2 linked regions of the Xenopus tropicalis genome follow. The protein of the gene in region 1 interacts with the protein of each later gene in a pairwise test. Links are inferred from orthologs where the notes say so. Each region holds a gene or a part of one and is shown on either strand. Other genes may lie near its edges.

Evidence for each region.
Region 2: the proteins of ddx17 (region 1) and rbm15 interact in binary tests that used the Homo sapiens proteins (3 or more experiments, as listed by UniProt). The link is inferred for Xenopus tropicalis from reciprocal best matches to the Homo sapiens genes DDX17 and RBM15.

What each region holds. Positions count from the first base shown.
Region 1 is NC_030680.2:120,510,867-120,514,789, reverse strand, and holds the start of ddx17 (probable ATP-dependent RNA helicase DDX17), read right to left. Parts: upstream 2,834-3,923; 5' UTR 2,692-2,833; coding exon 2,657-2,691; intron 264-2,656; coding exon 125-263; intron 1-124. UniProt on the Homo sapiens protein: As an RNA helicase, unwinds RNA and alters RNA structures through ATP binding and hydrolysis.
Region 2 is NC_030678.2:72,275,539-72,279,461, reverse strand, and holds the start of rbm15 (RNA-binding protein 15), read right to left. Parts: upstream 2,876-3,923; 5' UTR 2,784-2,875; coding exon 273-2,783; 3' UTR 239-272; intron 1-238. UniProt on the Homo sapiens protein: RNA-binding protein that acts as a key regulator of N6-methyladenosine (m6A) methylation of RNAs, thereby regulating different processes, such as hematopoietic cell homeostasis, alternative splicing of mRNAs and X chromosome inactivation mediated by Xist RNA.

The sequences.
Region 1 (3,923 bases):
AACAAACCATAACAAGCTGCATGTGGAGACATGTATTTTGACCGCCATGGTACGTTAAAAGAAAATCATGGGTGCCCAAACATGCCTATGGTCATAAAAACAGAAGGGGCTCATCCAGACTCACCTGTGTCATGCGTGCCACTTCGGGGTGTTCTGTATAGAAATTCTTTTCGAACTTTGGCAGCTCACTCAGATCCCAGCGTTTCTTCCGGAGACGCTCCCCGGGGTTTCCAAATTTTGGAAAGCGTGACATACCAGCACCACTAGTCATCCAAAAAATAAAAACAAAGTATATCAGGAGACTTTTTTAGCACTTTTTGAATATTATAACCTAAAGCTATTCATTACATCATATAAAAAATGTATACATCCCCAGTTGGAAACAAAAAAGCTGATGCTTAGTGAACAATCCCAAGGGGCTGACTGCTGTTAGGGCTCTGACACATGGGGAGATTACCGTATATACTCGAGTATAAGCCGATCCGAGTATAAGCCGATCCGAGTATAAGCCGAGGTACCTAGTTTTACCTAAGAAAACTGGAAAAACGTATTGACTCGAGTATAAGCCTAGGGTGGGAAATGCAGCAGCTACTGCTAAGTTTCAATAATCAAAATAAATACCAATAAAATTACATTAATGGAGGCATCAGTGGGGTATGTTTTTAAATATTTATTTAAAAGAAATACAGTAAACTAGCTCAATCAGCAACCAAGCTAAAACACAAAGAGTTAAAATCCTTCAAAACTATGTATAGTTTATATAGAATATAAATTGCAATGTCTAGTGCAGAATAGGACAGGTAAGGATGATAGATGAAGATGAATTTGGGACGGGCCAGGGCACTGGAGGGTCTGGTTGCGGGGGGGGCCTAATTTGCACACAAAGGACAGAGGGTGCTGGTCTGGAGGGACCCATGGCAACCGACTCGAGTATAAGCCGAGGGTGACCTTTTTCAGCACATTTTGGGTGCTGAAAAACTAGGCTTATACTCGAGTATATACAGTATTTGCCGAGCGACACATCTTCCTTATCACGGGCGACTTATCTCCCCAAAATGCCATCCCACCAGCAAGAATGTAAATCGCCGGTGGGGTGGCATACGTGGCGCTGTGATTTGCCGAAGTTTCTCTCAAGGAAACTTTGGCAAATCGCAGTGCCACATATGCCATCTCACAGGCGATTTAGGCTGATGCCACACGTGGCGTTTTTTCTCAGCCTCAAAACGCCGCACAAGCCACACAGCCCCTGACTATGGCGTTTTTCAGCTTAGTACTGGAGACGTAGCAAATCCCGTTTCCATGGTGCTAATAGTGTGAAATAGTAAAAAACGCCGTGTATTTCCACTAGGTCTGGCAGCTGTCTTTGTGTATAAATAGGAATAGCTTGCTGTGCAAATACTGGCGTATTTTGGCAAATGCTTGAAAAATCCATGCTAAGGCGTTTTCTAGTGTATTCCCGCATTGTGTGGTTTGCTTCGAGTCTTTTTAAGTTAATTCTATGGATGATGATATCGGGCGTTTTTCAGCCGCCGAGAGAAAAAACGCCTTGTGTGGCATCAGCCTTACCTTCTAGCCAGTGGGATGGCATTTCAGGGAGATTACTCGCCTGTGACATGGAGTATTTGTCGCATAGTGACTTATCTCCCCGTGTGTCACAGCCTTTAGAGTGTAGTGCAGGGGTCCCCAACCTTTTTAGCTGTGAGCAACATATAATTATTAAACAGTTGGGAAGCAACTCAATCATGAAAAAAAGTTCCTAGGGGTGACCAATAGGGTTGTGGTTGGTTATTTGGTAGCCCATAGGGTTGTGATTGGTTATTTGGTAGCCCAATGTGGACAAGCAGCCTACAGAAGGCTCTCTGTAGCAGTTCACATGGCCTTTATGCCTCCAAAACTTCAACTTCAAGTCAGAAATGCAAAAATGGGCACCTGCTTTGAGGCCACTGGTGTAGTGGAAAGGAAGGGGGGTCAGCAAGGACAGAAACATTAATTGATATAATGAAAAACAAGACAGTATCCAAAGTGAATGGATAATAAGCACCTAGAAATACATTCCTACTAATTATGCACAGACAAAAAATATATCTGCCCATGGGTTTGTGCTGAAGGTGCAGGTTACTGGTGGGGGCCCTGCAAAACTGTGTGTGAGGTGGGATCATTTCCCTATTCTCAGGGTTTATTATTGCCCCCAATTAATATATGTCCTGTATAGAGAACTGGGAATTAAACTTTATTTATACACGTTGCACAGGGGGCAGGAGGAATGCAAGTCTATGTACTCTATAAATAACTAAATGGCGCTCAGCTCACGGCTACCCTTGAAATAAAACAGAGGCTTTTACACGTAATGGCGGACACAGCACTGCAAGGAATGGGTGGGAAAACTGCGCTTCAACTCCTGGCGAATTCCAGCTCCCACCAACCGTGAGAGGCAGCTGTCGCACCTATGTGCCTTTGTGTCGCTCCGCTCCGGCGCAGATCGCAAAAACAACGCTATACTGCGTCAACAAACCCGATACCTCTTGAGAACAGTGCGCATTTTCAGCCAATGCTTCGGAGCTTGATGTGCTTATCAAACCTTATATTATTTATGCAGTGCTCAATGCCTCGCCGTCCTAAATGTGCAGCTAAATGCCCGTATCAAAACAACGCTCACCCGCCTCGGTCGCGATCCATAAAACTTCCCCTCATTTTGAAATCTGCTCGTATAACCAAAGAGACACTGGGACACCGTTCAACCTTCTAAACCCTGGGCGTTGCAACGCTGCTTAAACAGTATCCAAAGGCAGGGTTCCTTAGTGAAAGTTAACAGCTGATGTGCTCTAAAACTGAGCAACACGCAAAATGGCGTCCGAGTTCTTTTCCGCTCTCTTAAGATTTCTTGAAATGGAGACTTTACGCAATACGGGCGCAAGGACCGCCTGTATAAATGGCCTTTTCACTACCACTTGCGTACAGATAATAGAGAATAGCGACCAGCCTCCTGTGACGCATCTCACCCTGTTGTTTTGGAAAATGGTGTGATGGCAAGGCGTGACATCTCAACTGGCCAATCAGAGGAATAGAAGGCGTGGCTGCTTTGGAGACCTGCTTTTTGAGACGGGAAGCGATGTTTATTGTTGGTGTTACCTGTTATCGACTTGCAGTTTCTAGACAAGCAAGTGAATAATGCTGGGCGTCTGGAAACGTAGACCCTCATTGACTAATAAAACAAAGCTATGCCCCGTTTGAGTGTATATTAGGTTCTTCCATTTGCAATTTTTGCAAATAATTGGACTAAAGCGTCAGAAAATGTTTTCGTGTCTTGAGAACAGTGTGTTTAGTATGCGTTATAGTAAGTAGTAGTTTTGAACAGGGAAGTTTATTTTTTATTTATTGGTCTATACATATAAAGTGTTGAAATATCTCCAAGGTGCTTAATAAATATTTATGTATGAGGCCCAGCCCCAGCAGAGTTAACTATCTAAGGTACCTATCACATTCACACACACTGTGCTCAGTTTATTCAGAAGCCAGTTAAGTGCCTGTATGTGTTTGGAGGATGGGGTAAGTGGGGGTACAGAAGAACTAATGCAAGAATTTCATGCAGGAAGCACCCTGTCCGGGACTGAACTCAGGACCCCAGCACTGCATGGCAGAGGCGCAACCCCTTGGTGTTGCCAAATAAAATTGTTATTGCCCTTCTTCTTCTCATAAGGACAAATCTGTAATACTTTATGACTAAGATACTAATGAAAATTGGATGCCATAGGGCTTATTTTGAATATCATTCTAAATCTGCTAAATAGTGGGAGAAACCGGCAAATCTGTTTCATAAATTCCCAGTCTCTCTCTGCCAGCCAGGCAGCTTTCCCCACTTATGGCTCTGGCACACGGGGAGATTAATCGCCCGCGGCAAAACTCCCTGTTCGCGGGCGACTAAT
Region 2 (3,923 bases), on another chromosome or scaffold:
TCACACTTAAAAAAATTCAAGAAGTTGCCAAAATCAGAAGATTGTGATTACCTATGCTAAGAGAATATAATTTAAAGAAAATGGGAAATAGGCAGGAAACGTCAACACTTGAATATGGTCCGGTCCTGTTTAATTACATAAATGCTTTTGCTAAGCAGATCAAAAACTGCAATACAAAGACTGAACTTGCGATTACAAAAAAAAAAAAAACTAAAAGTTATACTGTATCCCATAATACCTTGTGAATAGTAGACAGAAATACAAACATGGACCTAGGATGCCCCACGAACTATAATCATTATAAGGTAGTCATCATCAGACTTCACAAGGGCTTTTGCTTCAGCATCAAGAAACTGCTGGGAAAAATTACAGGGAGGAAAAGCATGAAGAACTCCTGCATGATCTTTGTCTTTATTGCTCCCAACGGGCAGGCTGATAACACCTGCGGCTTGTTTTTGTTTTAAGTAGGACACCAGGTTTCTTAGGGGTCGTTGTGTTGAACTGGCTTGGTCCACTGATGAACCCTCGGAAGTACCAGGAATGGCAAGTAGGATGGCATAGCCATTAGGCCCTGCCACTCTGATGCGTCGAGTAACTTCATCCAACTTTGGCTGGTCAAGTCGTAGGCGCTGTGTAATTTTTAGCTGTGCCACCTTTCCTCCTGAAGGTCCCTCAACCAGCAAGCTGGATGCAACTCCAAGATCTCCTTGCAAAAGGTGCATATTGGATGGAAAATTGCTGTTCTTAAGCAGCAGCATACCTTGCCAAGCCAGACACAGCTTGTGTGCTGCTTCTGATTTTTGTGGAGGTTTCACTTTGCTGTTGCCCTCTGGATGCTCATCCTTTTTTAAAGGGCTTTTATTTGCAGGTACACGATGCCTTCTTTCTCTTTCAACTGAGTTTTTTCTATCATGTTTGTCTTCTTGACCCCGCTCCAGGCTTCCCTTCCAATCTCTAGAAGGTGAGGAGCGGCATGCTACTCGATCAGAGTCATTGTAACGGTTGTCTCGACCTCCACTGCCTTCAGGGCTACGTTCAGGAGTGACACAGTGTCTCTTTCTAGAGCGGTCACTCTCTGGTGATCTGTCTAGGTGACGGCTATCATCCAGTCTCCTTTTCCTGGGCTGATCTCTGTTCACTTCATCTCTTTCACGGTCTCTGTCTAAAGCCCAATTATCTGCACGTCGTTCTATTGTTTCAAGAGATTCACTAGTGACTCTGTGTCTGTCTCTGGCAGGAGGTGACACCCAATCATTGTTTGTATAAGCATCTCTTTCCCTGTCCCTGAATATTAAAGGTGGTGAACGATCTCTGGCTCTGCTGGCTTCACTAGTCCGATGTCCTGGTGTCTCCTCTCCAAAATCAATATAAGGGATGGGTAATGGCTGAACATAAGGATGTGGAAAACGAACATCTGCTTCTGCAAAATCCACACGAAGTCTTCTATGGTCACCCCCCATAGGGAAGCCTCTCATCTGGGTACAGGCAGCTTGGGCAGCATCCAGACTTTCATATTGTATATACGCCCAGTTTTCCCCCTTGCGGTAATCAATTTGACGGATGGTGCCAAATCTATCAAATTCCCGGGCCAATGCAGTTACTGGTACCCAAGGTCCCAGACCCCCCACCCAAAGGCGGTTTGTTGGTACTACTTTCCCATAGCCGATCTTTAAAGCATGACTACGAAGCATCTTGCCGGACATTGCAACCTTTGCCCTGTGAGCCATGTCAAGGTTTTCAAACTTTATGAAACCATAGGTCGTTTGCTGCCCACGACCAGCTCGTTTTATATCTACTTCTGTAATAGTTCCAAAACGTCCAAAGACCCTATAAATTTCACTCTCCTTGACAACGACATCCAGATTTCCAACAAAGAGTGTACGATTAGCTCTGGCATCAATCTCTAAAGCAAGGTCTTCGTCTCTAAAGTTCAGTCGGGGATCTACTGTGTAGGTAGACCTTAGCCGGCTATCATAAAGGCTGTATTCCCGTTCCCTGTCCAGCTCCCTGGGTAGAGCTGCCGGAGCCGGTGGGAGGCGCCCCAGAGCCAGCTGCTGCAGCCTATAGTCTCTGTAGCCCAGGCCGCCGGGGGAGAGTGCGCGCTGGCCGTGAGGGTGCCTGTGTGTGGCTAGTGTGGAAACAGCGGCGGCGAGTCCGCCATACGAGTCTTTCTCCCCAGGGCTGCGGCTGCGCCTCCGGTTAGTACCGCCGACATTCAAATAAACAGCCTCAATCTTGAGGGGTCTGTCGTAAAGGACAAGCCTCCCGCGGGCGTGCTTAGCGGCTCGGGCATCCAGGGCGCGCCTGAAATTCACTAAGGCCACACGCTCGTCCCCCTCGCGAGAGATTTTCACACTTACGTCTCCGAATTTTTTGAATTCATGGAAAAGTCCATCCTCTATTGCCTCGTCACTTAGCGAGGAGCCCAGCTCGCTTATCCGCAAGGATTTGTAGTATTCTGGCTCTGCACGGCTCTCTGTAGCCCGGCCGCCGCCGCCTCGGCTCTCAGCGCCACCTTTACTGCTGCTACTGCCACTGCTTGCCCCGGGGGAGCCGTAGCGATGCAAGCCCTGGGCTCTGCTCGATTGATCATAGTCGCGGCTCGAGGAAATAGCCTTTTCCACATGCAGGCTCCGGCGGCCTGTGCTGCTTTCAGATGTCTTTCCCGATGATCCGTTACTGCCTCCACCGGAGCTCAGTTTTTTTCCGCTTCTCTCGCGAGTTGATTCCTCCGCCCCCCGGGACCGTTTGGCCTTGGCCGGGGAGCGCTCTTTTCCCTTCATGGCGAGTTACGGGATGATAGTGTCTTCACACACAACTACACTCCGCCATTTTGCAGCGGTTTCGCCTAATTGACCGCCCTGAATAGCGATTGGGTACTTTCTGGCTTTCTTAAAATTCTATTGGATAGCTCTGCAGTCATTCTTACAAGATCGCATAGGATGGGGTGGTCTTTGGGCACGTCACTTCCGCTATTTCTCTGCGTTTCCCACGGGGCGTTATGGGTTGGCTAATGGCTACGTTGCAGGTTTATTAAAGCTTCGATCCATCCTTTCACGCGTGAAATCTTTTGTGCTACAATGGTTTCTAAGGTTTCATTTGTTTCATATCAATTTTACTTTTGTAAAATTTCAGTGAAATGTAAAGAGGAACGTTGGAAAGAGACAACATTGGCATATCAGATGCAAAGCGTTTTAAACAACCCAGTAGAATCGATTCTATATACTTTTGCAGGTTACTAGGCTGCTGGATAGGAGGTGCATAATTGTTCAAGTGATTTTAAGCCGAGAACGTCGTTTCAGTTAAAAGTAGATTTTTTTTTTACACATTATTAGTGGTGTAATTAGTTGTTACTGGTCCCCACAACAAATTCATTTTAGAACTATTAAACATATGCTAAATTGGGTAATTAAAATTGTTTTTTTGTAAGGACCATTCTAGGCCCTTTGAATCTCTAGTCTGTTTCCCTTTGTAGTACCACCCCTACAGATTATTAATACACTATTTCATGTTTGTGTTTCACTCAAACATATCTTACTGGTATTTCCTTTGCTGTTATTGTCAAACAATCCTAATGCAGTATTGTTACTATACAGGGATATATAGATTGTAGACCTTTGGTAACCTCTTTAACATTTTAACACAATGTTCTATAAGGTACATTTATTAATACCGTGTTATGTGCAAAGTGCAATTTTCAAAACAAATTTTCCAGCGTACTTTATTCTAGAATTCAAGCCTTGCAGATACTTTTATGTGATTGTACACAAAATGTTTTGGGCATTGATCCCTTTATTAAATGTGAACAGTGGCAATGTGTTCAGAATGTAGGAGAATATAGCTCCAGATCCCAATAACCTATTTAAACCATGAACCTCGTAAAAAGGTTATTTCCCAGATTTTTTTTAATTTATGCCCACCAA